4 linked regions of the Rhinolophus ferrumequinum genome follow. The protein of the gene in region 1 purifies or fractionates together with the protein of each later gene. This does not show direct contact. Links are inferred from orthologs where the notes say so. Each region holds a gene or a part of one and is shown in the gene's direction. Other genes may lie near its edges.

Evidence for each region.
Region 2: the proteins of RBX1 (region 1) and FBXW2 purify together in Homo sapiens (affinity purification with western blotting; 3 studies listed by BioGRID and IntAct, with this or other methods). This does not show direct contact. The link is inferred for Rhinolophus ferrumequinum from reciprocal best matches to the Homo sapiens genes RBX1 and FBXW2.
Region 3: the proteins of RBX1 (region 1) and FBXO21 purify together in Homo sapiens (affinity purification with mass spectrometry; 3 studies listed by BioGRID and IntAct, with this or other methods). This does not show direct contact. The link is inferred for Rhinolophus ferrumequinum from reciprocal best matches to the Homo sapiens genes RBX1 and FBXO21.
Region 4: the proteins of RBX1 (region 1) and KEAP1 purify together in Homo sapiens (affinity purification with western blotting; 6 studies listed by BioGRID). This does not show direct contact. The link is inferred for Rhinolophus ferrumequinum from reciprocal best matches to the Homo sapiens genes RBX1 and KEAP1.

The regions. Positions count from the first base shown.
Region 1 is NC_046293.1:6,875,393-6,882,380, reverse strand, and holds the start of RBX1 (E3 ubiquitin-protein ligase RBX1), read left to right. Parts: upstream 1-3,966; 5' UTR 3,967-4,046; coding exon 4,047-4,124; intron 4,125-6,043; coding exon 6,044-6,122; intron 6,123-6,988. UniProt on the Homo sapiens protein: E3 ubiquitin ligase component of multiple cullin-RING-based E3 ubiquitin-protein ligase (CRLs) complexes which mediate the ubiquitination and subsequent proteasomal degradation of target proteins, including proteins involved in cell cycle progression, signal transduction, transcription and transcription-coupled nucleotide excision repair.
Region 2 is NC_046295.1:71,265,222-71,273,033, reverse strand, and holds the start of FBXW2 (F-box/WD repeat-containing protein 2), read left to right. Parts: upstream 1-4,791; 5' UTR 4,792-4,871; intron 4,872-4,978; 5' UTR 4,979-5,087; intron 5,088-7,812. Other genes in the region: B3GALT9 (beta-1,3-galactosyltransferase 9), read right to left, coding at 1-588, 1,841-1,846. UniProt on the Homo sapiens protein: Substrate-recognition component of the SCF (SKP1-CUL1-F-box protein)-type E3 ubiquitin ligase complex.
Region 3 is NC_046308.1:10,891,630-10,898,540, reverse strand, and holds the start of FBXO21 (F-box only protein 21), read left to right. Parts: upstream 1-3,909; coding exon 3,910-4,148; intron 4,149-5,023; coding exon 5,024-5,159; intron 5,160-6,911. UniProt on the Homo sapiens protein: Substrate-recognition component of the SCF (SKP1-CUL1-F-box protein)-type E3 ubiquitin ligase complex.
Region 4 is NC_046301.1:39,782,468-39,789,768, forward strand, and holds the start of KEAP1 (kelch-like ECH-associated protein 1), read left to right. Parts: upstream 1-4,290; 5' UTR 4,291-4,887; intron 4,888-5,232; exon of another isoform or gene 5,233-5,471; intron 5,472-7,012; 5' UTR 7,013-7,059; coding exon 7,060-7,301. Other genes in the region: S1PR5 (sphingosine 1-phosphate receptor 5), read left to right, coding at 162-1,501, 2,599-2,728. UniProt on the Homo sapiens protein: Substrate-specific adapter of a BCR (BTB-CUL3-RBX1) E3 ubiquitin ligase complex that regulates the response to oxidative stress by targeting NFE2L2/NRF2 for ubiquitination.

The DNA.
Region 1 (6,988 bases):
TGGGAGTGCTCCTTGTTACTGCTGGGCAGGGATAGGAGTTCCAGCTTCCCACATGGTCTCTACTGACACTGCAGTGGAGGTGGCCTCATGATTGATGGGCGATGGTGAAAGTCCTAACTCTCCACTAGGTTTCTTCTAACACCACCCCAGCAAGGATGGGCAGGGGTGTCTTGTTACTGCTGGGTGGGAGTGAAAGCCTTGACCCCCTTATGTTCCCTCTTACCACAGGGGTAGGGGGGCTTATCAGCCAGAAAGGATAAAAGTTCCAACTCCCTAATTGGCTTCTACCACCCTGGCATAGGTGTTAGGGCACCTGGTTACAGATTTGTGAGCTGTATAGACTAGGATCCCCACTCAGCTTTGCTGGCATGGGTGGGAGTGGGGCCACAATTTTTCTGTGTTGTTTGGATAGAGTAGAGCAGATATTTTCTAAAAGTTTTCTGTTTGCTTGAAAAAGCAGCCTTTTGTTAGGGCTTTTTTGTTTGCACTTATTAGCATTTTGGGGATTCTAGCTTCTTCATCTCCAAGTCTGGGGGGGATGTATGAGACAATAAGAAAACCCAGGAAACTCACTACCACATCATTCCTCAAATCCTGAGCTCCCTAACTGGTCTGCCTTCTCTCCATCTCAAAGTCTTCTTATTTGTTATTGTTAAATTTTATTTTATTTTAAATATGTCCAGGGATTTCAGTTGTACTTAGAGGGAAGATAGAGAAAAGTATGTCTACTCCATCTTCCCAGAAGTGGAAGTCCTGTCTAACCCTTTTTAAAGGGCATATCTGACCATGCGACTCGCTTGGTAAAACCCTTCAATGGCTTCCTATCACTAAAACCAAAACTCTTTGCATGGATCTTTTGAACAGCCTTGCATGACCTGGCCCCTACCAGTGGTAAATGTTTAACAACCAATTCTGTGTGGTAGGAGGAACCCTGATTTGTAGTGTTTGCTGATTTCCATGGTATAAATACTACTATTATGGCCAATTTTAAGCTACCAACATGATGTTGCGGAATATGGAAGAGATGCTAACTATTGACTCTTGAATATTATTGCAGACTCATTTCACTGTTTCTCTTTATATTCCATCCATTCCAAGCTTCTTTACCAGTGCTCTATACGAGTACATACTCCAGCTTCCAGCCCCTTCTACTGTTGGCTCTACCTGGAATGCCACCTTCTCCCATATCTGTTTGTGTGAGTGCTGAGCCAACTTACATCAGCTTACAAGAGCAATTGTTAAACTTTCAGGAACTTTGAAATCTGGCTGCTTAAGATACAAATCAAGGTTTGGGTTTTTTTTAGCTGATTTTAAAACATTTACCAGCATACCACTGCTTCCACCCCTTTGTCTGGCTCATCCTTCAATCTCAAACCATTTCCTCTAAGAGGACTACCTCCTAACCCTTAGATTTGCTTTCTATTTCACAGTACCGTATACTTCCCTTTCCTAAAACTCACTGGAATTATCATTAATTGACTCACCTCTCTACTACCACACCATAAGTTGAATGATGAAATGGGGCCTTTTGCAAAAACTTAAAATATCAGATTACTTTTTATATAGACGATCATGGTGTAATTGACACACAGCAGGTTCTGCAGATATTTTAGAAATATTTGTTGAATGGACAGATGGCTGAAAGGAATAATACTAAAGTAAAATCATAACCTATTGCATTGTAAACTGAGTGAAATTATGAAGAATAAGAATCTGTATGAAACCTACAAAAAGTTTTCGTAGGCTTATGCAGCAGAATGTAGTATACAGAATGTTATGCCAATTGCCACAGCAAGGCAAATCTCCAAAAGAGATAGCAGATGAGGTTTTCAGAGCTTAATGGAACCACCCCTAAGATCATACATCTTCCCATCATAGCTATATACAAATCAGACAACTTGGAAATTGTTGCTGCTTCCTCTCTTTTATCCTTACAATCCCTTTTTCACAAAGCTTTAAAACTTTTACAATCTTTAAGATTGTCAGTTAGTCCCCTCCCATAATTTACTCCTCCAATATCTTTCCATAACATCTGCAATAAAATCCGTATCTAATCTGGCCCTGCCTGCTTGTCCAACATCTCTTACCACACTCTTCTTGCTCTAAAAGCTTCAAAATTATTCATTCAAGACATACTGAGCACCTACAATGTACCAGGCACTGTTCCAGTTTTTGTTATCAATAAACAAAACAATCAAAATCCCCTCTATTAGTAAGGACATACAAAAATAAACCCAAAAAATGAAAAAACTATGATAGAAAGTACATGTAGCATTTTTTTTTAAAGCATCGTAAAATGAATGGGTAGCAAATCATGCAAGGCCTTTTAAGCCATAGTAAGGACTTAAGCTTAAATGTCACTCCTCATAGAGGCCTAACCCCCCAATTTAATGTTGCTTCCGACTCCCATCAATCTCATAACCTTGTTTTGTCTTCTTCACAGCGCTCGATACCAGAGATTTTCTGATATATTTATTCATTGACTTGTGTATTATTTCCCTAGTAGGAATTTGACTCCTTTTATCACTGAATCTCTCCTGTTTATAACAGGACCTGGTACATACTCAATGAATTTGTTGAATGAAGCATAAATATGTCCTCAATAACTTACTATGGTTTTCTAGTATTCCTATAGGGGCCTTTAGGACACAATAAATAGGTGACAAAAATCTTAACATGGAATTAATTTAACAAAACTTGAGCTAAGAAAAACTTTGTAGGGTTCCTATAATGCTTTTAAGGTCTCAATTTTTCTCTAAGTCTGGTTAAAGCTGTAATGTTTTCACGGATTTGATATTCCTGTTTATGACTACAGCAGGGAAACAAATCGCAATTAGTCCCGTTTAGCAACGGAGTCAACACTCCATTGCGCTCCAATTTTCTTTTAAGAGAAAATATGAGATTTCAAATAAGCCAATGTAAGAGTTAAGAGTGACCTAAATTATATTTCTGCAAGAGGAGAGAAGCAAAAGGGATTATCTAGATCAGATGTCCGGTCTAGAAATGCGAAGGTAACAAAATACAGGTGCTTTGGCTGGGAAAGAATGACCGGGAAGAATAAATAGCTGAATGCCTCATACAACAAATTCAAGAAGTACTGCGACCACAGATCCAAGCACAGTGCTAGGAGCGGGGAAAAGGACCAAAATTAGGGAGGAAGGACCCCACAGTTAGATGACCAATTGGGAATGGGAAATGTGTGCTGAACTGCGTGAAGTTGAAATCGTGTACCTTAACCAAATACCATTCTGGGACGGACTGGTATTTCGGGCGGGCTGGAAATGGCACCTCCCAGGCTCCCAAGCCTCCTTCTTCCACCTATTTCAGGTGGGCAGCTGAAGGCAGGGCTGGGGAATGCCTGCACAGTTTGGCCCTGGGGAGAACATTCGGGGAGCTCCTGTCTCCCGGTCGAATCCTGATCATTTCCTGAACTGGACTCAGAAAACCAAACGGTGCCCTGGGCCCCTGATCTCCCCAGCCTCAGGCCTCCCAGGGAAGCTGTATCGCGAGCCTGTATCGTTAGCGGGTGAGGATTTGCGAACCGCCAGTGTGCGGACTCGGGTTTCCGCAGCAGGAAGGGGGGCGTCCACCCTAGCCTCTTCCCAGACTGAACGCAGTGGAAAAGCCGCCGGCATGCCAGCAGCGCGGCGGCCGGAGAGGCGGGGCGGGGCCGGGGCGGCAGGTCGCAGCCGCGGCGGAGGAAGCAGCCGCCGCCCAAGCTGAGGGAGTGTGGCCGGGGGCTTCCCAGGGGAGGGCGACGAGAGCGAGTCCTTTCGAACGTTTCCACCCGGCTCGCTCACGTCTACCCTGCCCCGCCCGGCCCCGCCCCAGCTGCTCCGACCGCCGCCTCCTCCCCCGCCGACGCAAGAGGGAGGGTGACCTGCGCCAGCGCCTTTAAGAGGCGTGGCCTCATGCTCCGCCCCCACCTGCTCCTCGCGCGCCAGTAAGGGATGGGGGGCGGGAGGAGGTGCCGGGGCGGGAGGGGGAGCGAGGCGTGCGCTGGTGCGCAGGCGCAGTGGCCGGACGACGGACCGTGTGTTTCCAAAATGGCGGCAGCGATGGATGTGGATACCCCGACCGGCACCAACAGCGGCGCGGGCAAGAAGCGCTTTGAAGTGAAAAAGGTTGGGTCTCGCCAGCGCCTTCCTCAGGGAAGCTAGAGAGGCGCGGATCTGGCTGGCAGGCCCGTGGATGACCGAGGCGCGGAGGAAAGGGCTTCATTTCAGGGCGTTCCTGGGACCGGGTACCACGAAAGGAAGCCGGAGGGCGGGTCTTAGGGTTGATCGGCATGCCTGCGGTCCACTGTCAGTGGCGCTATTGGTTTCGCTAAGAGGCTGAAGGGCCAATCACGGATGTGCTTATTGAGATACGCGGGGTTGCGACTTGGCTGCGGGAGCCAAGCGCCTGAGCTGTCACTGGAGTGGTGGAGGGGTGGGGAAGGAGAGGGTGGGGTGGGTAGAAGGCGGGGAGTCGGAGCGATGCGGTGGGTGGAGGATGGGGCAGTGCGGCGAAAGCCGGGAACCTGAGGTCCTACCGCATTGGAGGCCTCTGAGGAGATAGGCTGGTGATCTCCCTGCCCCGCCCCTCTACGAACCTCGGGGTCTCTCTCTGTGAGGGACCCAGACCCGGTCCTAGCCTAGTCGAGGCGTCCATTATCATTAACCCCCTCTGTGTCCCGAGCCCGGCCGAGTTAGTGTCTTGTTTTGAGTGTAACTCTTGGCTCTTTTGAGAGATCTGTTGATTGTCACACAAGCCGCCCCAGTCATGTGGTCATATCCAGAATCCCCCTCCAAAAAAAAAAAACAAACCAAAACACCATGTTGGAATTTGTTATAAAGAAAATGCGAGCCCAAATCTTGTTTCATTGAGTGAGGGTTAAGTACTAGTTGCGAACGACCTGCTAAAAGTGGGATAGCGAAAAATGTGGAACGTGTCTTTTTGCATGAAATGCCTTATCGTGGTTTCCTAACAGGAGGAAAGGTGTCGATTTCCACTTAAGATAAAATAAATCTGTTCAAAATGAAGATTCTGAAATAGGGGCGATGTTATTCCTAGAACATCTGGCTAAACACTGGCAATATTCCCCCTCCTAGTTGATTTTTGGTGTTTCATTGTGGGCACTGCGTGTTCAGTTACAATCAGCAGCCATATTGAATAATAATAGAAGTAGGATTTTTTTCCTCCAAGTTGAAGCTGTCTGGTAAAAAGTGCTGAAGAAGTTACTAAGACACTGAAAATTGGATTGAAAGAGATGACAGTTTGGGAAGTGGCATCAAATTAGTGGATGAAAAGGAAGTTTGTGAATATTTATAATTGCAGAAGCCAGAAGGTTGAATTACTTAAATGCCACTTTTAGATAAACTCCTACTGGAATTAACTATATATAAGAGTCTTCACATGAAAAGTTGAGCCCATCAGTTTATTTGATGGTAGGAGCTAAACAAAATTCTAGTGAATTCTAGAATTTGTTAGGAAGTAATCTTGTAAGACTTAAGTGATGACCTTGTTCTGTGTACTGACACTGGGTAATTATTTTATCCAGCTTATCCCACGATTACCCATTTTATGATCCAATCATCATCTTAGTTCATTCTGTTCCTAGGGTTCACCTCCCCACTCATGCTTGCGTTGAAGAGCAGATATTTATTTATGCAGAAATTGAGCTCTCCTGCAACTGCCAGGGAACCTGCACAATAATTTGACTCTACTCATTAAACCTGAAATGAGCACTTACAAATTATTCCTGATTTGCTTACATTGATATAGCTGACCAGATCATTTTAAGCTGTAGGAAAAAGTAAAATTAGAAGATGACACATTAATTTCTGTGTTCATGTACTCAGCTGTTTGGGAAATGGGTGAGCATATGTATAGCTTACTATTGCCATCTAATGCAATAAATAAGAAGAAAGTAATATCCAAAGACTCTTGTTTGGTGGTCCCTGTGGCCAAAGAGATGCTAACTTGCCACTGCAGCATGAAATCCTAGAGTGTGTGTATGCGTATGTGTATGACTGCATCGTGCCCCTTTTTCTTTTTGCAGTGGAATGCAGTAGCCCTGTGGGCCTGGGACATTGTGGTTGATAATTGTGCCATCTGCAGGAACCACATTATGGATCTTTGTAAGTAAATGGGGGGGGGGAGGGATAATTGAGAAGGTTACAGAGATTGTGGCTTTTCTGATGGTCACCAATGTTATTTATTCTTCACAATGAAATACAAAGCACAGTCAGAGCACTTGAGGTCTTCTGCATCTAGTCCATTGGTATGTTTGAAACAGATTAGTTTTTATGATGTACTGGAGGCATACCCATCTCTCAGAATATATCTACTCAATCTAAAGATGGCATAGTCACATTTACAGTGAATTGTGGACCCAGAGGCATTGTGGATCATTCCTTTGTATTTCCCATCTCGGACCCAAACTCAAAGGCAAAAATGGTAAACTTTGAGCTAAAATATTCTATCCGAGTTAGTTTGTGCTCAGCAAGATTTATAAAGAAAAGCCTAAGAAATAAGGATTTTGCATGTTAGCCCGATGTGTAAAAGGACATCACTGCCAACATCTAAATAGGCAATTAATTGCACTAAAATTTCATTTAAATCTCCACATACTCCGTCACACGTGGTGGTCAACACATGGTGAACTTGATAGCTATTGACAGACTTAGTATCCATATAGCAATAGGGGCAAGAAGGTTGACCACATTAGAAAAAGTTGAGATTACTTTTTCATCCAGGTATTAAAATGGTTTTCTATTGAGATCAGAAGTGGGGCAAAGAAATGTCAACTTTCTAGAATTAAAATTGTAGGCACTTAGTTTTAAATCACTCATCTACCTCTCCAGCATCATCGTGAGCCACTCTCCTGCTCAGTCTAGTAGTTAGTTGCTCTGGCTCTCCATTCTTGAAGTGTCCATGCTCTTTTTTATTCCTGTTCCTTCTGCCTGGAATATTCTCCACCTCTTGTCCCCCTATCTTGGTCTAA
Region 2 (7,812 bases), on another chromosome or scaffold:
GAGAAGATAGTCGACCAAGCCTGGTAGATTGACGAACATCTCTTCCTCGACCTTGAGAATGAAGAGGGCATTAGGACAGAAAGTCACAGCCCACTGTGTCATTGTGATGAGCTTCAAGGTTTGGTTCTCAGCACTGTCCAAGAAGATTCCTTCAATTATATCATTATTCTTATGGGACTCTCTGTCTATCTCTTGCTGGGTAGTTACCAAAATAGGCATCCCCAAAGCAAACAGTGTGAGAATGGGGTGCCCTCGGATGCTGGTCACATTACCCCAGGTTTTCCTGATGAGGTTCCGTCTTGTTTCATTTCCTGGGCTACTGAAGATGAGAGAGAGCAGAAATATATTCTTCCCTTTACACACTTCTGACTGGCTCAAGATATAATATTTGGAAAGGTTACTTCTTAGGGGCTCCGTGTTCAATTTTCTTGCCTTATCTTTAATTTCAAGAACTTTCATATTTACATAAGGCAAAGCATGCAGAAAGTATTCTTCCACAAAATCTGCCCCAAAAAGCAGGGCATGAAATAGGATAACATTAAACAGAATGAAACACCACTGGTGAGTCCGAAGTCTGCAGACTGTCACCTAAATAAGAGAAGAGCACACATTCATTCAAGCTTCATTTCCATTTGTTTTTGCCCCCACTGAACACTGTATGTACCTCTTATCTTACTAGCACTTAGCTGTACATTATTTTAAGTGTTTCCTATTATTTATTTTTGTGAATCTGTCTCTCCCACCAGATTGTGGCCTCCTGCACAGCAGGCATCATATCTCGCTCTTCTCCAGTGCTGCTGAGTTCAGTGTTTGGCATAAAGTGGACAATGAATAAAATGTTGGTTGGTTGGTTGCTTGTTTGGATGAGAGCCTGCTTACTATAATACAAGGTGCTGTGTTAAAACACTGGGAGAGCAAAGAGGAATCAGACATAGACACATGGACATAAAGTAACAAGTGGCATCATTGTGCTAAAAACCTGTAGGAAAATACATGACGTTCTTTCTGGAATCGAAGCACCTGGATCAGTTTCTTCTCTAATTACAAAGGTCAAGGGCTATTTTTCAATGAAATGGTTGCTTTGGTTGGCAACCACTTCATTGTAGCACAATGGCTGCTATCAAACATTTACATTCTTCCAGTTTAACTTTTCAACTTAATCTAATACTGAATTCTGACATTGTCTGTTTTGACAATGTCCCTTAATCCATCTGACATGTCTGTCAATATGGACAGATTCCTGCTATCTGCTAGCACCCCTTCAGAGATCTAGGATGGATCCCTGCCAAGTTTACTCCGCCTCATCAAAGGAGATGGAAACTTTCCATCTGGAAGAGCATATGCAGTATTGTAATATAATAAAGCCAGGGAACATTAAAGGAATTAAATCTCTCTTCATTGGAGCTTTGATCAACAAAGCATCCCATAATATTTGCCATGGGCCAGGCACTGAGTTAAGCACTTTACACGCCTTAATCATTCAGCCCTGGTAATATCCCTTTCAGATACGTTTTCTTCAAAATTAAGCTGAGTATCTGAGCTGTTCAGTAATTTGCCCAAGATCATTCAGTGGGTGAAGGGGTGGGGTAGGGCTATGATTTGAACTCAAGTATATCAAATTCCAAAGCTCACTCTTAACCACTAGAGAATCCTGATTCCCATCTTTTACTTTTCCGTGTTTTTTCAATGGGAAAAAAACAACAAAACAAACTCCTGAAATTTTAATCTGAACTCCTTCCCATTTTCTCAGTGCTGATTATTTGTACATAGAAGAAACTTCAGCCTCCTCAAAGCCTATTTTAATAGATAGCAAATGCTTCAAAGATTACAAGAAACTTACCTGCATGTTGTCTGTGAGCAATTTCAGAGCTTTGGAAATTATTGAGTCCAGATGCCAAATTATGCCCAAATGTATCTCAGGATCACGCCAGTCTAACAGCAATTGAGGTAAAGTACTTTGTGCCTGAGACTTCAGGATAAGGTTTCTGGCCAATCAACCTGAGCTTTTGTCCCAGAATACCTGCTGGCTCTATAGGAGAGCAAGTGCTGATCATGTTACAGCTGGAGTGAATCCAGAACAAAGAGTAAAAAAAGTGAACCTCTTCAAATGCTTCCAATCTTCTGTACCTCTTGAAACTGACCCCTTGTTTTTAGGCTGAGCTCCAGGTGAAGTATGCATGGGAGTGGAAAGAATAGTTCAGCCAACATCGCCCCTTCCACAGCACCATCACACAAGGAGAAACATCATACAGTGTTTGGAGTGTCTCTCAAGAAACTAAACTGTTGAGCGAAATCTATCAAGATGGCGGAATAGAAAAAAGAAAGAGAGAAACTAAACAGTTGGAGTAGTTCCTGCCCCCCAGTACATTCACATGCAAGACGTGCACCAAACATCAAGGAATACATGTTATCCTGTGTGGGTACAGTTTTTCTCCCCAAGGAAACATATGGTGAGGTTTGGGGTATCTCTCATTGGGAAGGATTTTGAATTCCTAATATAGGCTATGCAAGAACTTTACTAAATCCAACTACTTCTCCCAGGCAACTTTATCTCAAAATGGAAAACAACATGTAGTCCATTTTAGCCTAAATTGAAGAGACTGAGCATTTGATGTTGGCTATTTTCCTAGAGCATGTATGTGTAGGAATTATCCCAAACACTCTTTCTACCAGCAAGTTTATTTTAAGAAAAGAACACCCAGTATATTTTGATGTTTCTATCACATAAGCAATTGTACCGAGCATTCTGTTGTCATAGCAGGCTATATTTCCTCTTTTTCTTTTCATATATTGATTCGCCTGCCTGCTATTCACAGCAGTTTTTGTAATTATTTGGCTAGGAATAACTCATTATATTTAAAGGTGTCTATGCTTTCTCAACAACGTAATCTGGGGAATGTTTACTAAGTGGGAAAATCTAACTTCAGAAACCATTCAAGTGAAAGGGAAGTTTTACATATAATAAATCTAATGATTAAATAGGTCTTACGGGTATTTAAACATTCTATTTTGCAACTTTTTTTGGAGCCATAAATTATGCTCCTGGATTTCCTCTGGGCTTAGAGAATTTGGTTTCTTTGTCCATGAGAAGTTTAAACAATATTGTCTCTGGGGCAGCTCCATCTAGAATTTTTCAGTTTGAGTTATCAAACTCCTACCATGTTGGGGTTGAGAGTGTTTGCTGCAAATATATAGTGGTGCTTGATTTTTTTTATTACCTTAGTAGTGGCTTCCTTTTCATAGACGTTATCCTATCTGTGTACCCATGTCTTTAAAATTTTTCTTATAATATTGTCAACAGTGACTCTCTGGCTTAGAACTCTGCAGAGGTTTCCTGTTGCCTACCACATCCAATTTGCTCCCTTGAGACCTGACTTTTAGGACACCATACTTGGCTTCCACTCTACATGGTCAATGATTTTATTTCCCATGTTTCAGTTACCCTAGGTAAACTCAGGATGTTTGGAGCTTTGGCTGTGCTATACCACTAATGGGGTGTTTGACTGTCTTATTATCTATATTACATGTTATGTCTATATAATCGGACCGAACTGTCCAATATGGTAGCCCTAAGCCACATGTGGCTATTTAAATTTCAACTAATTAAAATTAAATACAAAAATTTATTTACTTAGTTGCTGTTAGGTCAGCTACGGGCATGGTCCCCGCCTGACTAGCCTCATTATCTCGCCGCAAGCCTTACAGTTGCATTAAGAACTTTTCAAGTGTTCAATAGCTGCAAGAAGCTACTGGCTGCCCTATTGGATAGCACAGGTAGACAATATCATTGCTGTGAATCCTATTGGATACTGGTATAATGCATGTGAGTGTGTGTGTGTGTGTGTGTGTGTGTGTGCGCGCGCGCGCGCGCGCGCGCGCGAGGTTTATGAGCCCTTCCAGAGAGACAAGGATAACTTATGCTCCGAAGAGCACCGAGGTTGAAATCCTCTTTTGACCTGGGTTTCTTCAACTCTAAAATTGCAGTCATAATAGTAACTACTATTTCCATGTAGAGTCGTTGTGGAAATTGAGTGCTATAACACACATAAAGTGGCTAGATGAGTACCTGGCACATAGGAAGCACATGGTTTTAGTTCTTGACACTAAAAAATTTGTATTTCATCTCCCATGATTTTAGTTTTTGACACTAAAAAATTTGTTTCATCTCCTTAGTCCTCAGAATGATAAGAGAGGGAGGATACTATAACGCTATAAAGATAAGGAAAATAAAACCAGAGTGGTTAAGTAACTAGGCCATGGGCACAGCCAGAGTGTGTAAGAGCTGGGATTCGAATCTGGATCTTCCGACTCTCTTCTTTCCCTCACCAACCCGTTTAATTTTTCCCCTTAGCACTTGCTAAAGCTTGCACCCTGTCTTACTTATCTGCCTCCTCCACTGGGAGGTAAGCCGCAGAAGGTCAGTGATTTTTGTTCACTACTCCAACCCGCTAGAACAGGGTTCGGGACATAACAGGTGTTCAGTGGACACGTCTTAAGACACTTTGGACACGTCCCTTAGCTTCTCCCTCTCCTCCATAAAGTGAGGATAATAACAAAAAGTGCCGCAGAGTTGGAGCAAGATCAGATTGGATGAGGGACACAAATGGGCCGGACATATTCGGATACACAGCGTGGAAGTAAGTTTTGGTCAAGCGTCCATCAGACGAAGCGTCGTGAGGACCGTACAGCGCACGCTCCGCCTCCCCCGGTGGTCCCCCCGGCCCTCCCGTTTCCCCCTCCAGGCGGGGGCCGGAAGTGCAGCCGCATCCGCCGGGCGCCTCGGGTGCAGGGACGCGCGGAGATGACGCAAGCAGCACCGGAAGCCGCTCCCCTGTGAGGTTGCAGACTCGGAGCGGCGGCGGCTGGTCCAGGTCTGTGCTGGATTTGAGGCGGGGCCGGGTTGGGGAGGGGGTGCTCAGGCACTTGCGCCTCTGCTGACCTACCGCGCCTCGGGCCATTGGTCTTTTTCTCCCTGCAGACGCCATGGCTGCGGAGCGGACCCGGCCGCTGCGAGGCTCTGTCGGCCCGAGAGCGCCTAGTCGGTGTGAACCCCGCGCGAGGTCCCGGGCCCCGGGGCGCTCGCTCAGGTCAGTGCCGCGCGGAACACGGCTCCGGGCGCCGGGAACCTGAGAGCGACGAACGGGTTGAAGGGATCTGGAGTTGATGGTAGAGATGGGAACATTGCATCTCGGAGTTACTGCCTCCTAGTGCCTCAGTTGCCTTAGCTACGAAATGAGTTAACAGGGATGTCCCAGGGCTGCCATGAGTTTGAAAGATGGTGAAGTGTGGAGAGGTAGTGTCTGAGCTACAAGCGCTGTGCTAATGTGAGGGACTGCGCCGTAGTTGTGGGTACACCGTGGAAACAGGTGTGTACGGGGGCGGGGGTGCTGCTTGAAATAGAGGTGATATTCATGCCAAATAATACTGGTCACTGGCATTTCCCGTAGGCGTACCAGGGTGTCGCGTATGGTGCTAAACGCTTTACGTACATTATGCGGTGTACAGAAGCCCTTTAGATAATGCTGTTCGTGGTTACAACTCAGTTTTCCAAGTGAGAAAACTTGGCTTGAGATAGGTGATTTGCCCAGGGTCGTGCGGCAACAAGTGGAGTTGCGGAACCATTATTTTATAAACACTATTTGTATTCTTACAGAGCTTTTTAAAATTCATCTTAAAACTACAGGGGTGTTTTAAACAGTATATTCACATGGTTTTACATTCAGAAAGGGGTCCCTTCCCCTATTCCTCAGCTCTTCAGTGTTCTCTGGAAGCAACTTTTCAGCTTCTTGAAAAGATATTCTGTGTATTTGTGTGTGTGCGTGTGTGTGTGTGTGTGTGTGTTTACCCCAAAGCCTCAGTACTCTTTAACTGCTGATTATGCTTCAAAAGAGAGGGAAGGTGAAGCTTCCTCCCCAACAATAAATGTATTGCTTTTGTTACTGGAGAGGAGTCCTTCTCTGCTCAGAGTCCAGGTTCTTGGCGTCCGGAGCAAAGAATTGAACGAGACACAGAAATAAAGTGGTGAAAGAGTAATTTATTAGAAGAGATAGTACACTTGAGATAGTACACTTCAAAGAAATAGAAGCGGTCGGAGCAGTAGAGAATGGCTCAAGGGCCCCGACTAATGAGGCCTTGGTGGTTTTTATCTTTTTCTCTCAAATGGGCTGTTCCTTTCCAGGCGTGGGACCGCCTGATTGACACCTGTGATTGACAAGAGGCTATTACCTCATCTTTTTTAAACTGTGCAGGTGTGAGTGGCTGGTTTGATCTAGTTGGATATCTTGTACTCATTTGTTTACAATAGAAAGGGGGACGTTTCAGACAGAGAGGGGAGGTCTTCTGGGCGGTAATGTAGAGACCCGATGCCTGTCTCTAACTGCCTGCCTGGTTTTTCCCTTGAGAGACATGATCCCCATAAAATGGCTATGGGAAGTTGAGGGACAGGAGATCTTTTCTTCTGTATCGGCTTCCTGTTGGACAGGGGCGTAGAGCTGTCCCTACCCATTGGGGGATTCACAGAACTCTCGCCTCTCACAGAACTATCTGATCTCAGATGAGAGGAAGGGGTCTCGGGATCTGTCTGGAAGACTGTGTTGGCTTCTTTGGTTGGGACTGGCAGTCTTGCTGGGGTATCTGCTGTATCCCCAAAGCCCCTGAATGAGGAAAAATAGGTTTTAATTAACATCTTTTAGCTCTCTAGAGCCTGTGGCCATTCAACCAGTCATTCAGGTGGCGTCAGTAGTCCCGGAGTTGGGCCCAAAATGGGTTGGAAAGAACATTAGGCTTCATAGATTACATTCAACAAGTGTACTGGCCTGTGGGAATGCGAAAACCTATTTGGTTTCTGGGATGGCCAAGAGTTAGGTCTGGAATGGCTTTGGGGAGGTTGGGAAGTTGCAGGCTTTTAAGTAATCATCTGAGGCCGGGGTGCGAAACATCCTGTGATTCAGGCTAGGAGCAATCTTTAGTCTAGGATTCAGAAACTGATCAGAAGAGTAATCAAAGCCAGGCGCTCAGGAGCTTACAAAGTAGGGAAAAGGAGACTTAAAATTTCTATAGTGAGGGAGGCTTAAAACTTTTGTGGTGAGGGCACTCTCCCATATCACTTTCACTCTTGAATAGGTCAGGTCTTGGTGGAGGAGAGGAAAACGCACTCCTGATGTTTTATCCAGAATGTCGTATCTCTCATAAGACCTAGAGGTGGAGGTTTGTTTCTTGGGGGGAGGATGGGGCTGGGCGAGATGTTGAGCCTGCTGCTTCCCATGGGAACCTAGGAAAGTCCCTCCACTTCTTGAGCCGTAAATTTCCTCATGTATTGGTGAAGGGCAGTAGTATTGATACCTCCCAAAGGTTGTGGAACTAAGTGAGGTAGTGTCTGAGTGGTAGTCTTTTAAAGCAGTACAATAGTGAGAATTGCCTAAGGGAACATAGGGAGTTAATGGCAGAACCAGAGAGCAGACCCAGGCCTCCCATCTCCCAATTTAGGAGTCTTTCCATCACATCGTCCATCTGAGAGTTTTGTAATTGTTAAGATTGAGGGCAGGAGGGCAAGTTTAATGTTTGGTCTGAAGAGTGGGGGAAGGGGCAAGACAACATGAGTATGGGTAGAGTAAAGAGAAAAATGCACCTAGTGGGAAATTATAGCCTCAAGTTGATAACTGCCCTTAATTGTAAAATTAAACTTCCGGTAAGTTTGAGCCCTTGAGCTTTTTTCCCCCACATATCATAAGCCATTCTAAGGGATGTCCCTGGTCATGTCTGTTCCAGCCTCAGGGCCACTAAAAGCTTTCCTGCCAGGTATCTCTAGTAGTA
Region 3 (6,911 bases), on another chromosome or scaffold:
CAAAAGCAATTAGGTAGCACCATGAGTATCCCAACTACCAGGTAAGCTTAGGATGAACTAGAAAAGAGTTTACAACAAAGGTATAGTACAGTCAAGTCCTCTCACTTGAGGACAAGTTACCATGAATCTCGAGAGTAGGTATGTAATGCAGTGCTTGGTTGTATATAAAAAGGGTAGGATTTCTCTCTGTCTTTGCAATCTCATCAGCAGATTACCTGTGATGTACCCCACAGTCTGGTTTAATGCTTGTTCAATAAGAAAACTATTCTCCTGGGGCGGCCGGATGGCTCAGTTGGTTAGAGCGCGAGCTCTTAACAAGGTTGCCGGTTCAATTCCCACATGGGATGCTGGGCTGCGCCCCCTGCAACTAAAAATTGAAAACGGTGACTGGACTTAGAGCTGAGCTGCGTCCCCCCATGACTAGATTGAAGGACAACAACTTGCAGCTGATGGCCCTGGAGAAACACACTGTTCCCCAATATTCCCCAATTTAAAAAAAAAAAAAAAAGAAAAGAAAGAAAACTGTTCTCCTTTACTACAGTGGCGGCAAGGATTTTCTAGATTGGCAGGAGATTTTAATTTTTTCCCGACAGCATCTTTGGTCAGAAGACAGGAAGAAAGAATGAGGGCCAGGACATCATTGATAAGAAAGCAATAGTCTTTCCTAAGAATGGCTTACCGATCATTTGTGCAGCTGTGGGGTCTGCCTTGCACCTAACAGGTTGGAAGCTGTTTATCAATGTCTGAGTGTTCTCAGGGCCAGGGCAGAAGCCATGAGAACAGTTGGGAACCACAGTGCAGACGTGGGCTGGGACAGTGTGAGCCGAGACAAATCTAAGAAATATTAGGATCTTTTAGAAAATGGCCTCCCTGTTCCAGAAACAGAGGCACAGAGAACTTAACCTCTGTTGGGCATTTGAACATGGATAGTGCTTCCCAGCACACTTAAGATAAAATCTTAACCATCTTTCCAGGCCCTACAGTATCGGACAGAGGTAAGTACAGTATGTACAGTGGTTGAGAGCCATGCAGCAACAGTAACTGATACATATTTTCATTTAATAGGAAGGTCTATTGTTATCCCCATTTTATAGGTGAGAAAACCAAAGCACAAAGATATTAACCGCTAGGGACCATTTGGATGGTGAGGTGCCAAACGGTGACGAGTTCCGGTTTTGCCGTAATAGATGGAGTGGCACCCTTTCCTAAGGCAGGAACCACTGGGAGAAGACAAGGTAAGTGGGGAGGGGGAACTGTAAGTTCAGTCCCAGATAAGTTCAATTTCAGGGGCCCAAAGGAAATGTCAGGTGAGCAGTTGGCTGGCTAAGCAAGGCTGGACCTCAGAGGAGTGAGCCGGGCCAGAGAGAAACGTGGACATTTTAGCTGAGCTTGGATTGTCATTCGAGATGTCGACAGAGGTGAGAAAAGTGAAAGAAGGGGCCTGTGGCTGTGCCCCATGGTACCCTAACATGTACCATCTGGGTGAGACGGCAAAGGAGACTGACAGGGAACAGCCCTAAAGAGAGGGTAGGGCCACAGAGGCCAAGGTGAGTCAGCATTTTTGAGAAGAAACAGCATGGTAAACAATGTCTGCTGATGCTGTGGAGACGGCAAAAACAAGGCCAGGGAACGCCCACTGAATTCAGAGGCATGAAGGTCCAGGATCTAGCCCAGATCTGCCAGACTCCAGGGGTTACTCTAAATCTTTCTGTTTTAATGACCATAGTAGCAGCAGCTGCAGTAACACTGTACGCCCGCCCCAGCCCCAATTTCCTATTTTGAAGCCCTAACCCCAGGACCTCAGAATGTGACTGTATTTGGTGACAGGGTCTTTAAAGAAGTAATTAAGGTCAAACGAGATCATTAGGGTGGCCCCCTGATCCAATAGGACTGGTGTCCTTATAAGAACAAGAGTTAAGACCCCCACACGCACACCCACACATACCACGTGAAGACACAGAGGGAAGATAGCCATCTACAAGTCAAGGAGAGGCCCCAGAGAAAAACAACCCTGCCCACACCTTGATCTCAGACTTCTGGGCCTCCAGAACTGTGAAAAAATAACTTTGTGTTGTTTAAGCCACTCAGTCTGTGCCACTTTGTAATGGCAGCCCTAGCAAACGAATACAGGCAGTAACATAGTTTCAAACACATTTATTGAGATGAAAGTCACATAACATGAAACTCAATAGTGAATGATTCAGTGGCATTTTAGTACATTCACAACGCTGTGCAACCATCACCTCGGTTGAGTTCCAATACATTTCCATCAATCCAAAATAAAATCCTGAGCCCATGAAGCAGTTGCTTCCCATTCCCCCAAAACATGCTTTTATCAAGTGTGTTCTGTGTGTCAGGCACAGTACACATGCACTTTATATAAACATACTCATTTAATTCTCTCAACAGTCCCAGGAGGCCAACATTATTATTATTATCCCCATTTTACAGATGAGAAACTGGGCCTCAGAAAGGCTAAGTAACTCGCTGTAAACAACTGGTTAGATAACTGTAATCAGCAAATAATTATTGAGAATCTGCTGTGAGCAGAGCCTGTGAAAAGTAACTGGGCATCCGGACAATCCTGATCCTGAAGTTGCTTCTGATCTAGTAGGAAAGATGCAGGTTGAACAGTTATCAATTAAGTAAATAAGTACACGACTGCAAAATGCTGAAAAGGTGCCGTGTCTGGCTCTGGGGCTGGGATGAGAGAAGGGAGGAAGAGAAGAGCAGCCAGAAGGAGGGAGTGCCGGCATAAAGCGCATTCCAGGCAGTGGGAATAGTACACATGTGAAGGCCAGAAGTGGGAGGAAAGAGATCAGCCTGGCTGGTAGGGTTAGTGAAGGAAAGAATGTCTTCAGACAGGCTTGGAGTGGTAGATAGGGGTCTGTGTCTTTGCAACAATGTTAGGGATTTCAGATCCCTAAGGGCAAGAGAGAGAGTCATGGAGGCAAAACAACATCCACAGAAAGTAACAGTTACTAGTTCAATTGTCTCAGGGCATTCTGCTGATTCCAGGTTGGGGAGGAGGAGGTTAGTGAGCCCTTCAGGACAACAGTACTGACAACACATTGTTCTGTACCTGTGTGTCCCCGCTACCTCCCACCCCAACTGGAGTTGGAGCTCCTGAGAGGCAAGCACACCATCTTACTCACCTCTGTATCCCCAGGGGACAAAGCACAGTGCCTGGCACTAAACGTACCTGAGTTTTCTTTTACGAGGGCAGACACCGAAAAGAGTACCCACCCACACCTGAGTGGGAACTTCTGCCTTGAGAATTCAAATCTACCACTTTTTGTCTCTACGACTTTGAACCAGTGACTCCCAACTTTCTGAGCCTTGTTTTCTTTATCTGTAGAATGGGTACAAATATGGTACCTACCATAGAGGGCCCAAATGAGGAGTCCTTGAGGAAGGCATGTAAAGTGCTTGGCACAGCATCCACTCAAGAATATTAAGTTTGTGATCACAGCATGCTAGTTTAGAGTACGGTCAAGCAGAAGTCAAGAGGATCTGGATTAGAATCTAGAACAAGGGAGTCTGAGCAAGTCTGTTTATCTCCCTGAACCTCAGTTTCTCTATCCGTAGCTTGGGGACAATAATGGTTTAAGAGGGTTATTGGGAAGGTTCGACGAGCTCCTGCACAGGAAGCGCCCAGCACTATAAGAAAGATGGATGTTGTCATTGTCATTGTCGGTCCACGGCTCCAAGGCCCACAGCCCAGTTACTTTCCAAAACGCGGTACTTTCCCGTCGCCAAGGCGCAGTCCTCGCAAGTACCCTGGGCAGAGGGGGTGGAGCTACCGGCGTGGGCAGGGCCATCCTGGGGCCCGCCCCTCAAGGCAGGTGGGCGGAGCGAAGTGGGGTTCCCCCGGCGCGCGCGCACAGCGGCCCCAGGTACGCGGACAAGATGGCGGCAGCAGCGGTCGACAGCGCGATGGAAGTGGTGCAGGCGCTGGCGGAGGAGGCCGCGCCGGAGACGGCGGGCCTCAGCTGCCTCGTCAATCTGCCCGGCGAGGTGCTGGAGTACATACTGTGCAGCGGCTCGCTGTCGGCGGCGGACATCAGCCGCGTCTCCAGCACCTGCCGGCGGCTGCGCGAGCTGTGCCAGAGTAGCGGGAAGGTGTGGAAGGAGCAGTTCCGGGTGAGGTGAGCCTGCCGCCCTGGCCGCTGGTGCCCTGGTTCTGCGCCCCCGGGACGCGCGGGCTTGGCTGGCCCGAGCCGCCGCCTCCTGGCCCGCGCGCGGACCCCACCCCGGATGCCACCCCCAGACCCCTTCCCGGGGACCGACAGACAAAGGCCTCCAGGCCGCCGGCCCCTTGGGTCCATGCCGCGCGGACCCTCCGGTGCCCAAATTGCGCATCGGGAAGCGCCCAGCAGCCGGGCCCTCCCTAACGGATGACGACGGTAGTATCGCAGCTCATCCATTCTGCGCGCTTCTTTTGTGCCCGACACTGTGCTAAAATGTTTACACGGATCTGGTGATGCGGTGATCCCCACAGCCCTGAGAGGAAGCGGGCGCAGCATCCTCTGGTTGGTGGTTGAGAAGCACAGATTTCGGTGTGGACCCGGGATAAAATCTGGCCCTGGCATACTCGCCGTATGACCTTGTGGGCAGACTTCCCTTTTTTGAGCCTCGTTCACCGACTTGGCTGATAATTAGACCTACCTTTGACTGTGCTTATTAAATGAGATGTGTAGGGAGCATTTGCCAAAGGGCCCAGCTCTTAGGAGGCGCGCAGTGCATGTTAACTGTCATTGTCATCGCTATTATTGTATTATCGCTACAATTGTCCCCATTTTATAGATGCAATGGAGACACAAGCATTCTTATGGCAATGCCAAGGTCACTCCGTGAGCGAGTGCGTGCGTGTTGGGTGGAGATTGGAACTGGGTCCATCACCAGGGCCCCTTGACCACTAAACCATACTGCTTTCCCTGTTTTCCAAGGCTGCCTTTGATTCCTGCCTGCCTGCCTGCCTTTGAGTCTCTGTTAAGCTGAGGGGGTGTTTTTCTCCTTGTAGGTGGCCTTCCCTTATGAAACACTACAGCCCCACTGACTACGTCAATTGGTTGGAGGAGTATAAAGTTCGGCAAAAAGCTGGGTTAGAAGCCCGGAAGATTGTAGCCTCGTTCTCAAAGAGATTCTTTTCAGAGCATGTAAGAATCTGTTGATGTGGCTCTAAGCTTTTGCCTGGTCGTGGTGTGTGTGTCTGGGTTTGTAGGCATTAGCTCATCCAGCTCTTTTTGATATCTCCCTTTTCAGTGCTCTCACAATCCCTTACTCACTTAGATGGCTGCAAGAGTCATTGTGTCCTTTTCCTCCCATCCAACAACATGAAGCCATTTGTCCCTGCCAGCTTTACTTTTCTAAAGCCAGAGAGAGAATGGGGGTGGAAAAGGAGGGAGGGACCCACAACACAATGTAGAGGGATTTTTTTTTTCTCTTCAGCGTTATTTCTCTTCAAGTGGGTTAGCCATTTTTTTTTTTTTTTGCAGCCTCCACATGATTAGGGGGATCATTGATGATTGAACACTACAAATCTCACCCAGTTGTTTTCCCAGAAGGCTTGACGAAATTAATACGGTTCTTCTCTCTGGCTTTGCAGGTTCTAACCAGTTGTGAACTGCATTATTTGTTAAGCTAATAGGATTAAAAGCTATCTGTAAATCAAAATTATTGCTCCCTCAATTAAATTGTCTTACTTTTATTATCCCTGAAAAGTTTTTTTGTTTTTGTTTTTGTTTTTTAAATATTGCTGAACTGCATGGTTTTGTTTTTGTTTTTACTTAACACAAAGCGTTCACAGGTCCTGATTCTTAACTTTTTGTGACTCTGGAAAATAGTCCACCCCAATATTTTAAATTTATTTCTGATTGGGGGTCTAGAAATACAGCCAGTCTTACTTATTTTATTCTCCAGGTTTACTGAAGATGAAGTCCTATTTTCTAAATTCAATTACTATTACTTAATGGAGTTCATACATTTGAAATATTTTCAAAGCTTGTCAAGTTTTGAAAGGGAACGTTCAAATTTTGAACTTTGGACAAATTTGAATGCATTCTTCTGTGGAGAATAAAATTAGGTATTCCTTAGTGCAATTCATCTCTATAAATAAATGTTAACGTTAGAAGGGAAAAAGTTTATTTTCTACTTGGAAAAGCCATGCCCTAGCTAAAAGCATGCATGATCACAGATGTTAAATAACTGGTTGAAACGTTGTTTGCACACACATGTATTTGGACCAAGTGTTTGATGCACTTGGTCACGGGCTGCTAGTTTGCAACCTCTGCTTCTAGTCCAGCTGGTTTTGTGTGCATTTTGAACAGCCTGTGCCTTTGTCTGATAATAATGAATTGTTATGTTTCTTCCTTAGCTCCCTCTTCCCTGATACCACTGCTTAATTAGAAGTACGTCAAGTACTTTGAACAACGCAGGAGTGTACTTAAGATTGATCTGTGGGTGGGTGACGACTTTGGCTCAGGACCCTTGTATTCCTGTGTTCCCAGCATGCACACAGGTTGACATGAAATTCCCTGGCTACCTTCAAAAAGAAAAGTGGCAGAAGTGTTAGACTTTTAAACTGAGGGGATCTTAAAGCTTATTGGTACCACCACCTTGGTTTACAGAGGAGAAAACATGCAAAACATGCTCGGTGGGTTGAGTTGCCCAAAGCACTAGACTTCTCTCTCCGGCCCCTCCCTTCTTGAGTACAGCATAGCCTGCAGGAAGTAGTTCTTGTGAATTCAGAAATTTTATATTTCTAGTTCTTGTTTTTTTGTTTGTTTGTTTGTTTTCTTAGTTTCAGGGGTACAAAACAATGTAATAGACATTTGCACCCCTCACAAAGGGATAACTCCCCTCCCCCAATCTACTGCCTCTCTGACATTGTATATAGCTGTTACAATTTC
Region 4 (7,301 bases), on another chromosome or scaffold:
ATGTCCCTTTCTGTGTGTGGTTGTATTTGTGTGCGTTCTGTCTGTTTATAGTTGACTATGACTCTGGATATCCGTGTTTGTGTGTGAATTATGAGTATCCCTCAGCAACTGTGGGACTGTGTCACCCTGTCCCAATATTATTTCTGTGTGGGCCTGTTTCCATGGCCAGCCCCCTTCCATCCCAAACTCTCCCTGGGCCCCAGTGTACATGTGGGGTGGAGGGCAGGGGGTTAGGGCTCCTTTCCCAGTTCTGCGAGGCACATGCTCGCCTCCGCAGGCCGCGGGGATGGTGCGAGCCCAGCCTGACACTGCACCTGGCCTCTCTGCAGCCTTGGGGCAGGAGGCCCATGGATCCGGGGCTGCTGAGGCCGGCGCCGGTGAGCGAGGTCATCGTCCTGCACTACAACTACACCGGCAAGCTCCGCGGTGCGCGTTACCAGCCCGGCGCCGGACTGCGCGCCGACGCCGTCGTGTGCCTGGCTGTGTGCGCGCTCATCGTGCTCGAGAACTTGGCGGTACTGTTAGTGCTCGGACGCCACCCGCGCTTCCATGCGCCCATGTTCCTGCTCTTGGGCAGCCTCACACTGTCCGACCTGCTGGCTGGCGCCGCCTACGCCGCCAACATCCTACTGTCCGGGCCACTCACGCTGCGCCTGTCGCCCGCGCTCTGGTTTGCACGCGAGGGTGGCGTCTTTGTTGCTCTCGCCGCTTCTGTGCTGAGCCTCCTGGCCATCGCGCTGGAACGCCTCCTCACCATGGCGCGCAGGGGACCCGCGCCGGCTGCTGGTCGCGGGCGCACGCTGGCGCTGGCGGCCGCCGCCTGGGGTGTGTCGCTGCTCCTCGGGCTACTGCCAGCGCTGGGCTGGAATTGCCTGGGCCACCTGGACAACTGCTCCACAGTCCTTCCGCTTTACGCCAAGGCGTACCTGCTCTTCTGCGTACTCGCCTTCCTCTGCATCCTGGCCACCATCTGTGCGCTCTACGCGCGCATCTACTGCCAGGTGCGGGCCAACGCGCGGCGCCTGCGGGCTCGTCCTGGGGCTGTTGGGGGCCTCTCGAGCCGAGCGCGCCGCACGCCGCGCTCGCTGGCGCTGTTGCGTACTCTCAGTATAGTGCTCCTGGCCTTTGTGGTGTGTTGGGGCCCCCTCTTCCTGCTACTTTTGCTCGACGTGGCGTGCCCGGCGCGCGCCTGCCCCGTGCTCCTTCAGGCGGACCCCTTCCTAGGCCTGGCCATGGCCAACTCTCTTCTAAACCCCATCATCTACACGCTCACCAACCGTGACCTGCGCCACGCGCTCTTGCGCCTCGTCTGCTGCGGCCGCCGCCCTTGTGGCCGAGATTGGGGCGCCTCCCCGCGATCCGGGAGCGCCGCTGGGGCTTCGGACGGCCTACACCGCTGGCTGCCCCCGGACCTGGATGTCAGCTCTAGCCGCTCCGAGCGCTCGTCGCCCCTGCGGGACGGGCTGGACATCAGCGGCTCCAATAGCGCGCCCACAGCCGCGGAGACCCTGGTATCCGCACCCGCACCAGCTGCAGACTGACGCCTTCTGGCCCGCCATTGCCCTCCCTAAGAGATGTTTTGCAGACTTTTTTCTTTTTAAATAATAGAATTTATAGGAAAAGCAGCCGAAGATAGTGGAGGAAGAAGAGACACAGGGAAATGTACTTTATTGGCCTTAAGCCCCACAACAATGAACAAAACAGACAAGAATCTCTGCCCTTGTGGAATTGACGTTCTGGTGGGGGCACAGGCAATAAAGGAGTGAAGAAATAATGGAGACAGTTCCAGTGACAATACAGTGATGCGAATGTGGTCAGAGGACGCCTCTCTGCAGAGGTGGTGGTAACTGATGTGAGCTGAGACGTCATTGTCCTGGGAACACCTGAAGCAAGAGCACTTCCGGTGAGGGAACCACAGGTGCAAAGTCCATGAGACTGGAACGTTCCTATGTGCTCTATAAAAGCAAGGGCCCAGGTGTGGCTGGAGCATCAGTGAAGGTGAAGGCGGGAGAAAACAAAGGCAGGAAGATGACAGAGCAGATCACTGTGGGCTCAGGGAAGGACTTTACTTTTGTTCTAAGTGAGGTGGGAGCCATGGAGGGTTCTAGGTAGAGGAGGGTCTTGATTTGGTTCAGGTGTTCACAGATCTCTGTGTGAGGCAAAGGTGTAAGCTAGGAGAACAAGGTGAAGGTGACTGCACTGGCCTGGGGGAGAGATGATGTCAACTCGGATAGATTCTGGAAACAGCGAAAAGAATTACTGAGGAATTGAGTGTGAGAGTGAGAAAGAAAGTAGTCAAGGACAGCTCTGCAGTTTAGAGGGGAGGACACCAAAGACAGGACACCCTAAAATTTGACTCTGGGAGTCTCAGCCAATTCCTATCTGAAACAAGATGTCTTTGAGAGTGGTGTCAGATTCTTCATAAAAAATGAAAATATAATAAAATAATAATAAGAATTACAGCTTATTGTGCCTGGCTAGTCGCCCCACAGTGGTAAGCTCAGGACACACCTTTTTCTCACCCTTACTGCTACCTTGCAAGGTGGGTTTCCTCACCCCCATTTGACAGATGAGGGAACTCTAAGCAGTGAGTACCTTGCCCCAGTGTCTGAGCCAGGATACTTGCCGAGGCTGTCAGGCTCCCAGGCTCAGTCCTTGTGTCTGGCTCCTCCAGAGGGGTCTGCATTCTCGGCCTGGGGCGATACCAGGGCCCCGTTTGTGCCCATAAAAGGCTCCAGACGCCCTGGCCACGGTCCCCGGCTGTCCCTGAGCGCAGTCCTGACCCCTATGCGGCCTGGACCGTTGGGTGGGGCGTGCCGCGGAGTCACTTCGGGCTCAGACTGTGGCCCACCATCTGCCGGGAGACTGCGGAACTGCAGGCAGTCACAAAGCCATGTGTTTTGGAGGCACTCACCCAGCCTGGTGGCCTGAGTTTCCACCTGCCACACTCAGGTCCCAACAGGCTACACGCACGGGAAACCAACCTATTCTTGGAACACAAACACTCAAGCCTCGGGTCACGATCCCAGGACTGGACCCAATTCCCTACCTGCCCTGGTGCCCCCAATCCCAGGTTCCTTTCATATTCCAGGGGAGCCTGAAGTTCACCCCATTGTTTGGTTACTTGATGGCGTGATGGTAGATGTATTCACTTGTTCACATTTTACAAAAGTCAAAAAACACGTCCCCTTCTTGGACATGATCACTGTGGGGATTCCTGGGAAACTTCCAGAGCTATTCTGTGGATAAATGAGCTGAAATATAAATACATCTTCCCTCTTTCTACACAATTTTAGCACTGCTCTGCATCTTGCTTTGTTCACTTAATAGTATATCCTGGAAATTGTTGCCCATCCACAGATTTTTGTATTGTTTGGCTGCCTTAGTCTGCTCAGGATGCCATAACAAACACCACAGCCTCGGTGGCTGAAACAATAGAAATTTCTCACAGTTCTGGAGGCTGGAAGTCCCAGATGAGGGTGCCAGCATGGTCGGGTGCTGGTGAGGAATCTCTGCCTGGCTAGCAGACGGTCACCTTCCTATTGTGTGCTCTCATGGTGTACAGAAAGAGAAAAAAAAGCTCTCTGGTGTCTCTTCTTATAAGGGCACTAATCCCTTCATGGGGCCCCACCCTCATGACCTCATCTAAATCTAATCAATTCAGTCCATATCACTTGTTCTTTTTTTTTAAATTTTTAAATATTGAAGTAAAGTCATACAGCAAATGTCTTGCTCCTTTTCACTGACTGCATAGTATTTCCCAGCATGGATGTGCCACCACTTGTTACACGGAGAGACCCGTGGGTTGAGTCCAATCCTTTGCCTTTATACACAGCGCTGCAAAACACTTCAGTGTACACGTATGTGAGTATACCTTAGATAAATCTCTACAAGTGGCACTACTGGGTCACAGGGCCTGTAGGTTTGATTTTCATATATGAGAGGTTGCCTTAAGGATGGTGCGAGTTTTCCCACAGCTTCCGCCACTGCCAGTATTTGCCAACTATGCTATAGCGTCCCCCGCTGGAGGGGTCCAGAACCGCAGACTCGCGCATCTGGGAAGGCGGCGGAAGAAGGGTACCCCACCACATGCTCCTGCGCGGGTTTAATCCCAGACCCTGAGCAGGGACACTGAATCCTCCAAATTCAGTCTGGAGGCTGGCGGAATTCTTTCTTAAACCTCTTTGCGTTTCCATTATTCACTTAGTTTTCATAGAGGACTCTTTGAAAAATAGCCTTAAATACATTTATTTAAATGTTAACTTTATATCTTAAACAGCGTAAGTGGCAAGTCAGTATTCCATGCCATGAAAAATAGCGATAGTTAACATCTGTTAGGCACTCGCATTCGCATTTAGTGCTCCCGGTAACCAAGGTGCTAGCATTATTACCACCTCAAAGGGAGAAAACTGAAGCATGGAGAAGTCACAGGCCCACCCGCACAGAACCAGAGAGGGTGGCAGAGCGGGCCTTCGAACGCCCCGCAGGCGAGCTCCACGCACCTCTACATTAGAGATAACTAAAAAATATAGACAAAGAAACCCCAGCTAGATAGATAATTCTCGCTGGATCCTGCGGCCGTCGACCGTGAGACCTGCGTTAAAGAGAGAAGCGCAGGTCGTAGAGAGCAGCCCCGCGCTGAGACGACGAAATAGGTCGAATGAAAGGGACAGTGCGAAGGGGTAACGGGCTTTCCTGGCCGGGGCTCCGGGCACCTGCGGGAAGGGCGGAGAATCGCGGCTCCTTTCCCGCCGCGCCCTCTCCCCGCCTCCTTCCCGGGTGTCCCGAGGCCTCCCCTCACCCGACGGTCGAGACCCCTCAGGCTTTGCCTCCTGAGAGCCGAGGTCCCCTGACAGCGGAGGTGCCCGCGGGTCCGGGAGAGCGAAGGTTAGGCGGGAGACGCCCCCGGCGGGACTGCGGCCCCTCGGGTTTCCCGGAAGCTCAGCGCGCGGGTGGCACCACATTGCCCAGAGCCGCCGCCTTGTCCCAGGTATCCCCGCCCCGCGACAAGAGCTACCGAGGCTACGCAGGGGCCGAGGTGAGCGCGGCGGCGGCGGCGGCGGCGGGGAGGAGTGTCCACTGATGCCCGGTGTGGGCAGGGACGCGTCTGGCCTCGAACCCGGTGCCCCGATTCCCGCGGAGCTGACCACGCGGCTAGGTGCGCGGAGAGCTGCGGTCCCTGACCCCGCCGCGCCGCAATGACGAATGCTGTGGTCGCGGCGCTGGGGTTGCGCAGCTTGGCGACAGCCCGCGGGGTGGGAGAGCGGGGAGCGGCCACGGTGCCAACGCCGCCGCCTGAGGCCCCGGGCCGCGGGGACTTTTATTCTGACACGGCAAGCGCCAGGCTCTGCTTAGTCATGGTGACCTGCGCGCGCTCCGCGCCTCCCACCCCCACCCCCACCCCCCAGCGCAGCGATGGAGGCGCCGGGGCCTGGGCGACGGAGGCGGAGCCCGAGCGCGGCCATGGCGGGGTGAGTGAGCGGCCTGCGCCGGGGCTGCGGGCCCGGCGGGCCGGTTGCGCCCCTGCAGTCGTGCCGGGGGGCCGGGGGACGTGGCGCCGCGGGCCCGGTGGTCTGGGGGGTTCCCGTGGCCCCCGGAAGGCCAGGAGGGCGCGGCTCGAGTTCCATCCTTTTGTTGGACGGCGCGATTCGCGGGGTGGCCCGGGAACCACACAAGCCGGACGAGAGGCCTGGGGAGAGCCGCTCGGACGGAGTCCCGGGGACCCCGGGGCGTTTGGGTGCTTGACCTGCGCCCTGGGATTGGCAGTCAAGAGGCCTCGGTGGGGTTACTTCCTTCTCCAGGCCTCGGTGGCGGCTCAGGCGGGGCATGCGCAGTCCCCCACCTAGTGCTTCGTTAGGGGAAATGCCCAGGGGGCACCGTTGACCTGTTGGCCAAAGACCAAGAGGCAGACCCGGGGCCTTGGCTGGGGAGAGGTGGACAAGCGGCGCCCCGGGCCGGGTGAAGGAGGGTGCTCTGGTAGGCACAGTGGCGTGGGCAGTCAGCCAGCCATACCTTACTGACCCATGTGCAGTGCCAGACCCCAGGCTGGACTTGAGGGAGACACATGAGAGGGTGGGCACAACCCTGACCTGCCCTCTGAAGCGCTGGGGCTCAGGGCCAGAGGGACGGGTCACCCCTCAACAGGCAAGCAAAGAGGCTTATTTCAGTTCCTGACAAGTGGGGTGATGGAAATAAAACTGGGAGGTGACTCTATGCTGAGCCCCAGAAAGATAAGGTGGAGAACCTGGGGATCCTCTTGCAGATCCACCCCCCTTCTCCCCGCAGGACCTTTCAAAACACAACTCATGCTCCAGCCCTCCAGACTCCACAGGTTTCATGGAAACCCTCCCTTCAGTAGTCATTGTCTGTCATGACACACCTCCTTGCTTCTCCAGATTGTCTCATTCTGCTTCTGAGCCTTTTGCACTTACTCTTCCCTCTGCCTGGAAAACTAATGACTGTCACAATGTTGTCATTTTCTTCATGATCTCAATTTCTACTTAAGTCGCTTATTTTATTTATGGCCATTTTCCCCTCCCTCCCCCCCCAGGTATCAACTCCAGCACAGTTTTTGTTTGTCTTGCTCACTGCTGTGTCCCTGGTGCCTAGAACAGTGCCTGGTACACAGTAGATGCTCAATAAACGTTGGTGAGGTGAATGAAGGAGTGAATTGGACATGCTCTAGGAAGGGAAGGGCTACCTACCAAACAGAGTGAGCAAAGGGGAGAGGCGGACAGGGACGGAGTCTGAAGGGCTTTGCTGGCCATTGAAGTGTTCGGTTTTACTCTCCGTGCTGTAGACAGGTGTGGGGGGATTCTGAGCAAGGGGGTGACATCATGTGACATGTTTTAAGAGGGACTCTTGGGCTAATGAGGCCATAGGACATTTAGCAAGCACAAATGGATGCAGCTTCACCTGGGCTTGGCAAGGAAAACTGGTGTAGGAGTTGCTTTATCTTAATAAAGGCCTGGCCCCAGGCCCTGCCCCCAGCCCTGTGCTCTCCCTCCTCCAGGCCCCTGAGTGCCAGTGGTGGTGTTGTCCCTTGTCACCTGGAACCCCATGCAGCTGGAATCCAGGCCTAGCAGGGCTGGGGCCCGTACCCGATTCCTACCCCTGAGGTCACAGTGCCCCGACGGGGCAGGGGACACAGTGATGTACGCCTCCACCGAGTGCAAGGCTGAGGTGACACCTTCCCAGCATGGCAACCGCACCTTTAGCTACACACTGGAGGACCACACCAAGCAGGCCTTTGGCATCATGAATGAGCTGCGGCTCAGCCAGCAGCTGTGTGATGTCACGCT